2 linked regions of the Neurospora crassa OR74A genome follow. The protein of the gene in region 1 interacts with the protein of each later gene in a pairwise test. Links are inferred from orthologs where the notes say so. Each region holds a gene or a part of one and is shown on either strand. Other genes may lie near its edges. The genes, in order: NCU06149 and NCU09512.

Region 1 (4,394 bases):
TTTTACCCGCAAAAAGGGCCAAAACTCAACTTCTTCTACTCTTAATTTCTCAACGTGGTTTATTGCAAAACTCACTCCACGTTCTAAATAGAGATAACTTTAAGAGGAGATACTAATGCAAGTTGTCCGAAAAGATACACTCGAACGGGGGGCAAAAGCGTAAGTACTAAAGTCACTTTCCGAAAAGTATCTCAGATTCTATCCACTATAATGCACTCTAAATGCACTATAACCAAAAATCCTTTTCAAACTCTCATTTGAACAATTGTGATTACACTACTAAACCAATGAAGTCAATTTCATTTATATATCTGGGGAGTATAACTATTTAACTCTGTCCTCCTTTAGTGCATCTGCTTTTGAAAGGTAGTTGGCATGAAAACTAGGGAGTGATAGAGTTGAGTTTTGGCCCTTTTTGCGGGTAAAAAAGAAACGTGTTTTATTTTTGGTCCGGGACTGTACCCTTAAGGGGGGGCTAGCCTTTTTACAGTAAAGCTGGCGCCCAACTGCAAGCCATCTGCAAGCCCACTGTAGCCTCTGGGCGCTCAGAGTGGGTATGTGAACGTGGCTACACCTGGCACAAGGTGTGTGCAGGAGGCTGTCAGCTGTAGGGCGCTCGCTTACAAACCTAGATCGGGTAAGGTGGCCCGCCGAGCCCGCTAAAGGGGGAGCTAAGGGGTATCCAAATCGAATTGAAAAAAGCGGTACTACTAGACTTAGTCGAATGTACCTCTCTGTAGGTACCTATGTACATACTTGACACTGGGCACGCAAGACGGCAGTGAAGAGACGGGCATGATGTACACATTCATGGATCTGACCGTGCTGGAAAATATCGAACTGTTTTCCAATTGTCAAACTTTTTGTCAACTTTGATCATTACTTTGTCCAATTTCGGCTACCTACGTAACAAAGCCCAGAAGGACGTCCATGGACGGGATGTCGCCCGCGATATCCCACCAGTGCGCCGGATGACGTCGATATATACAATGTAGAGGTACGCTAGGTACACTGGGCCACCACCAGAACTACTATGCAGTGTACACTACCCAGGCCAACAGAGAGGAGGCACAGGCAGCGGTCATAGTGTAGGTACACTAGTAGAGGTATAAACCGAATTGCCCCTGAAGTGGGACTGGAAGGCGATGCCGCGGCCGACTTGTGGCCTATGAGTGGCGCCCCCCGCCGCCTTCCATTATGAGACGAGATACACTACACTACGCAGGTATGGAAATGGAGGTCCCGTTCGGTCCCGTCGTGGTGGACACGCTGCTGATTGTGCGATACACAACTGGACTGGAAGGCGCAGGCAGGGTTCGGCAGGGAACATCAAGGGAACACGTGATCCGAGACCCTTTCGGCAGTGGAGTGAACAGTTTTGACGAGGAGAGGAGACTGGACCTGGGACCTGGACGCTCCGGCTCCTTCGTCCACTCACTCGCCCAGTCCTAAACAGCACTGAATCATTCACGACTTCCGCACCGCCTCGCCTCGTCCAAGCTTCGGAAGTTTCCCTCAAACTCTCTGCCTTTCTGCCCCGCTTTCAGACGACGACCACCACCACCACCACAACAACGACAACACTTCAATCACAACAGAACAGAAACACTTTGAGCTCGCTGCAAAGCACCATCTCGTCCCACTCTCCCAACGGCATCGCACACGTCGCTTTGATTCGCCCTTCAGTTTTCACAGGCCAATCAAGTCCCAGCCGTCGACCCCGAATCGGATTCCTCGCAGCCTCTCCCACAAAAGACGTCGCTTGACTTCGAGGCATACAGGCAAAATCAAACGACTGAGAACGTCCTTGGTGCTCCCACACGCAACGAGCCTCCTCGCGACCCCATCCCCATCCACCGCCGTCTCATCTTTGCCCCACGACCGCTCGCGACAGGCCTCCGCCTCCGCCTACAAAGCTACATCTGTCTGGCTCTGCTCACCGTCAACAGACCGAAAAACAAAAGAGAAAGAGGGGATTCCCACCCACAACTAGTGCTCCTCTCCCCTTGTCAACCACTTGTCCATTTCGCTACACACACCCGGAGACGAAGCCATCGCGCTCTACGCTCTCCTTTCTGCAACATCTGAGCCTCGACCACGGGTTCCACAACCGAACAACGACCATCCGGCAAAATGTCCGACCAACTAGCGGATCAGTTGAAAGCTACTAGTCTGAGGTAGGTTGACCGCCTTCCCTTCTGTCCCAAACCCAGCTGACATGTTTTTGATAGCTCAGGCCCGGAAGACTGGAAAAAGGGACTTAACCTACCTGCCAGGGACACAAGACAACAGACCGAGGATGTTACAAACACGAGGGGTCTGGATTGGGAAGACTTCATACACGACAGGGATCTCTTGATGGGCATTTTCGAGGCTGGCTTCGAGAAACCGTCCCCGATTCAGGAAGAAGCGATCCCCGTTGCCCTCACCGGCCGAGACATCCTCGCACGCGCAAAGAACGGCACCGGCAAGACCGCCGCTTTCGTCATTCCCGCCCTCAACAAGATCAACCCTAAGGTCTCCAAGATCCAATGCCTTATTCTCGTTCCCACCCGTGAGCTTGCCATGCAGACATCCCAAGTCTGCAAGACGCTCGGCAAGCATCTCGGCATCAACGTCATGGTGACAACCGGCGGAACTGGCCTGCGGGACGACATTGTGCGTCTGCAGGACCCCGTACACATCGTCGTCGGAACACCAGGTCGTATCCTCGATCTAGCTGGCAAGCAGGTGGCCGATCTCAGCGAGTGCCCAATGTTCATTATGGACGAGGCTGATAAGCTCCTGTCGCAAGAGTTTACCCCCGTCATTGAGCAGCTCCTGCAGTTCCACCCCAAGGATCGTCAGGTCATGCTGTTCTCCGCCACTTTCCCTCTTTCGGTCAAGGATTTCTCGGACAAGAACATGACTAGCCCGTACGAGATCAACCTCATGGACGAGCTTACGCTCCGCGGTATCACTCAATACTATGCCTTTGTTGAGGAGAAGCAAAAGGTTCACTGCCTCAACACTCTGTTTTCCAAGCTGCAGATCAACCAGTCCATCATTTTCTGCAACTCTACCAACCGCGTCGAACTGCTTGCCAAAAAGATCACTGAGCTTGGATACTCGTGCTTCTACAGTCATGCCAAAATGGCTCAGCAGGCGAGAAACCGTGTCTTCCACGACTTCCGCAACGGTGTTTGCCGCAACCTGGTCTGCTCGGATCTCCTCACCCGCGGTATTGACATTCAGGCAGTGAACGTTGTCATCAACTTCGATTTCCCCAAGAACGCCGAGACGTACCTCCACCGTATTGGTCGTTCTGGTCGTTATGGTCACCTTGGTCTTGCTATTAACTTGATCAATTGGGATGACAGATTCAACCTTTACAACATTGAGCGCGATCTTGGTACAGAGATCCAGCCCATTCCTCAGACCATTGACAAGAGCCTCTACGTGTACGAGAACCCTGAATCGATTCCCCGGCCCATCTCGACCTTCAAGCCTATTGCCCAGCAGCCGCAACAGCAATTGCAGCAATCGCAAAGGCCTCAACAGTCTCAACAGCAACAGCATTTCTCAACACAGACACAGCCGTCAAACCAGCTCCCGCCTCAACAGGGCAACCAACAACTTGGCTTCAATCCTCAAGCTCAACAGCCTCACAGACCCATCCCCCAGGCCCAGGGTGATTGGCAAGGGCAAAACGGTCGCCAAAATGGCACAGGTGCTTCCAACAACCAACCCAGACCCACCAACTACCAGAACAATCGCGGGCAGCCCGGTAGCAGCCGCGGAGGTCGTGGACGTGGTTTCCAGGGCCAGGGAGGCCGTCAGAACCAGAACTACGGTGGTCAGCGCGGTCCTCGTACCCAAGGTCAGGGCCAGCCTCAGGGTCCACTGTCTGCCCAGTAGGGTAAACTCTCCCAACAAGTTTTGGAAGGAGGGGGATATGTGGTAATGTGAGGAGGTGTGCGACCATGCATCGCTTCCACGTTGTTTTGTCTTTGAATTGTACATATTAGTCGTCCTTTTTTTTCGGCCATCTCTTTCTGTTCCTCCCGAACTGTGAATGGGCTACCATGACGGCAAGTGTTGTCCCTCGGCCTGTCAGGTTTGCGTTTACGCTACGGCAGACTCGTCTATCACACTCTTTCTGCCGACCCTGCAAACAGTTCAACGACATGCACGGAACTGTACTACGACACATTCTCTTTTGGAGTTTGCCCCATTTCAAGGATTTTTCGATACGGTCCAGCTTCATCCTGTTCGCATTCACGGCTTACAACGCTTCGGCATGGGCGCGGAGTCTTGGGTGGTGTGGGGTTTATACGTCTTTGTTGGCTTCATGGCGGAAGCGGCTTTATACTCCATGAGGCGCTGCGAGATTTCTTTTTCCTCCATTGAAACGC
Region 2 (3,567 bases), on another chromosome or scaffold:
GATCGTCCGTTTATCAGGACCGGCGATCGGGCTACCGTCGCGTTTCGGTTTGTCCAGAGACCCGAATACCTAGTCCCGGGAGACAGACTTCTCTTCAGAGAAGGCAGAACCAAGGGGTTGGGTATCGTCAAGAGTGTGGGGTATGATCCTGAACGGCCGTTGGGCGGGGTTAATGTAGGTGAAGGGGGTGATAAGGTGGCTGCGGGCGTTGAAGATGTCAAACATGAGGGTGGCGGTAACGAGGTGAAGGTTGGTGCTTAGTGACCTGGCACCTGGTGCTGATTTGGCGTTGGGCAGATGATGTTGTGATGACCCAAGTTGGGGGCCGCGTTACCTTTTTTTCTTTATACTTTCTTTGATGCATGGCCTCATCTCCTCGTTTTGATGGCTCATATACGGAGCGGCGCAGTCAGGGCACAGTACAGAACTAGTGGTGACCCACTACTTGCAGATATTCAAGTAGTAGTAGGAGTAGTAGTAGTAGTAGTATCATGGACGATATGGCTTTTGTATGTGTCGGTGGAAGATGAGTGACCTACAGGTATTCTCAAATGAACATATGAAAATTCTTGAGCAACGTACTGTATTCTTTGTACGAGCGATCCTTTTCAGCCTCCTCAGGAGGAAGGAGATTGCCTGGCTATCAATGCTCCATGGCCGGGAATAACAATGGTATATCTGTGCCGTGATCTATCTTTCGGCTCTAACGACAAACGATGAACGTGATGTGATGACGGTGATAGTCACATCTCAAGCCAACTTCTCTCCTTGTATCTCTCTCCTATCCTCTTCCCGAAGCTTGGTTACCGGTTTCCTTTGTAAGCGCCGCCCCTCTCGACCTTGAGGTAGCCACCACCTAGGTAGGTAGGCTTAGCGACGACCCATGTCCAACTCCCACTGAGACAAACCTTCGGCTGCTGACTGTCCAGAACCCTCCGCCGTTGCCGTTTCCTTTCCCTTCTCTTCCAAATGCTCCTCCTCTTCCCTATCTACCCCCTCCCAAAACTGCGCCTCATCCGCCACGTGCAATAAGTTCCACCTGCCGATGGGCAACCGGTCCTGGCCAAGCGGGCCACCGGAGAAGGGTTTGATGCCGTAGCGGTGGCGGAAATCGTGCTCGTCAACTGGTCGCTCCACATACACGGCCTCTTCTCAAGAACGGGTAAAGGGCGAGATGAGCACGACGGAATCGCCGCGAACGAAGAGCATTTCGGACTTGCGGGAGATGGTCTGCCTTTTTGTTAGTATATGAGAGTGACGGAAAGGGAAAGCAAAAAAGACAAACGAGGTATGAGAAGGAAAGGGGAAGGAGGGTGGGTATAATGGGAAAGGGGTGAGAGGTGGTTTGACGAGAGAGTGGCGGTGGGTAAGTGAAAAGATGGCATACCTTCAGGTCATCCTCCTCGGTATCTTCATCATCCACGACGTAAATGGTCTCTTCGACTTCCCCGAGGACAAGGTTGCAATGGGAGTCGTAGGCCTACATCACAGTATCCGAGTTAGCAATGAGTTCGGGTGGTGGTGAGTGAGGCGTAACGGGAAAGATGTGACGACTGAAAAGGGGATATGTAAACATAAGAGTGGACTTACGTGCAGACGGCCCTTGAGCTCCCGATCACCTCTCAGCTTGACGCAGACAACCTCGTCAAGCAAAAGGCGGACGAGGTCCATGGGCTCGGAAACAGAGCCGGCATCTTCTACTGCGTCGGCCATTTTGTGTGATGTGTGATATCAAAAGAGCCAAAAATAAATAACGAGTGAAGAGAGAGAAAAAAAAATGAAGTTGGCGTTGTGTTCCTGTTGTTGATGGCGGGGACCTCAGCTGCAGCGCCCTGGAACGATGATGAGTGAGTCCAGTGCCAGTGACGGACGGCGGGGGGTTTCCATGCCTGCCCGATTGGAAGCGCTCGCTTCGGTGCGAATTGAGGTCAGTGCCAGCTGGTCGCATGCCAAGAGCAACTGAAGCAGCCCGACGCACTGACCGCTTCCGAAGTGGAAGCTTGACCGGTTCTTAAACGCTTATGCCAGAGCTTCGGCTGGGCAAGGTCTTGGCAGGAACAGGCGCCCAAAGTGACAACAGGCCTTCCCCGGATTTGCAAAGGCGGGCATCGCGAGATCCATCGCACTTCTCCTCTTTGAGTTAGCGGGGTTGACTTACACCTCGACTTCAGTTAGTACCTAGGCACGCCCACCAGGGCACTCAGCTCCCCTTCAACACCACGGCCGAGCTTCAATTGCGGACGAAAGTCGCCAATGGGGGTGGTGTACAACGCCGTCAACCCCAATTTGCAACCCAATGGCTGCCCTTCTCTCCTGTCGTGGGGTTCGAGTTCCTTCTCCGAAATCTCGACGACTAGCCTCCGCCGTCAACAAGCTCCAGAAGCTCCCCCATTCTACGACCCAAACAGCAAAACCCATCTCAGCAATTCCATACCCAGGCAACTTTGCCCACCATGGATTCGGTCACCAACTTGACGGACCTCGACAGCCCCTCGAGCAAGATGAGCTCCTCCTCCTCCGAACCCTTCTCGCAAGACCCGTCGTCGCAAAGAAGCCACCTGTGACAAAACGGTCGCCTTGGATAGACGGCTTCACCGCGGCCTTCAGACAACCCCACAAAATGCTCACTTATTTCAAGGAGAACAAACTCGAGATCCTTCAACTTCCACCAACAGCATTCAGCGAACTTCTCCGCTCCGTTGACCCCGTCGAAGCCGTTCACAAAGACCAAGATCCGTTAGGAGACATATGGGTCGACCCAGCCATGGCCGATTGGTCCCCTTTGGGGGCTCTGGTCAATAATTACGGCGTCAGAAAAAGAAACACCGACCTTTACCCCCTAGTTCACGAAGCTGCCTTTCGTCGATTCCGCTCGGGTTCTCCCCTTCTTTTGTCCGACTACAAAGTCCTGCTGCGATGCGCCGGATCGATTTCGGACCCCCTCTTGGCTCGCAAGATCTGGTTCCACATGAACGTCTCTGAAAAGATGTGGGAGCGCCAGACGGACCTGTATGCCGAATTTCTCAAGGCCCGGTTCTTGACGGAACCGTTGTATACCCAACACAACCGGCATGACTTCCGCGTCAAGCCTGTAAACCTCTTTCCCGAGCAGCGGTTTCTGCCGTACTTCACGCCTGACAACTTGTCTCAGCTGCGACAGATGAACTTTGACAAGACCAACAAGCGGCTGGACAGGTTTGGGCAGAATCCTGGCGCAGAGCACAAGGTGGATTATCTGATGAGGATGTTACGGCGGACTTCACCCGTCGATCTCGTCTTTGGCACCGCGCGAAACCGGTTACATCTACTGTCAGAAGAGTTCGTCTGCGCTGCTCTCATCGCCTACGCCAGGACAGGGGTAATGGAAGACGTACAGTCCGTTCTATACTTTAACTACAAGATTGATGTCTCTGGCTCCATCGAAACCGGCGACTTGAAGATCACCGGCGGGCGGCGAGACTTTCTGCCTGGCTCGCCCATGGCTCCTACCACCCGTCTTTTGCAGACAATCGCCACCTGTTATGGGTCGAACGGCATGATAGCCATGGCGTGCAAGATGCTCGACCA

What was found.
Region 2: the proteins of NCU06149 (region 1) and NCU09512 interact in binary tests that used the Saccharomyces cerevisiae proteins (3 or more experiments, as listed by UniProt). The link is inferred for Neurospora crassa OR74A from reciprocal best matches to the Saccharomyces cerevisiae genes DHH1 and LSM3.

Annotation. Positions count from the first base shown.
Region 1 is NC_026507.1:1,628,991-1,633,384, forward strand, and holds the start of NCU06149 (ATP-dependent RNA helicase dhh-1), read left to right. Parts: upstream 1-1,424; 5' UTR 1,425-2,133; coding exon 2,134-2,177; intron 2,178-2,231; coding exon 2,232-3,897; 3' UTR 3,898-4,394. UniProt on the Saccharomyces cerevisiae protein: ATP-dependent RNA helicase involved in mRNA turnover, and more specifically in mRNA decapping by activating the decapping enzyme DCP1.
Region 2 is NC_026503.1:55,516-59,082, forward strand, and holds NCU09512 (U6 small nuclear ribonucleoprotein), read right to left. Parts: upstream 1,878-3,567; 5' UTR 1,714-1,877; coding exon 1,591-1,713; intron 1,481-1,590; coding exon 1,388-1,480; intron 1,231-1,387; coding exon 1,153-1,230; 3' UTR 567-1,152; downstream 1-566. Other genes in the region: NCU09513 (GTP-binding protein 1), read left to right, coding at 1-261; NCU09511 (hypothetical protein), read left to right, coding at 2,297-3,567. UniProt on the Saccharomyces cerevisiae protein: Component of LSm protein complexes, which are involved in RNA processing and may function in a chaperone-like manner. Component of the cytoplasmic LSM1-LSM7 complex which is involved in mRNA degradation by activating the decapping step.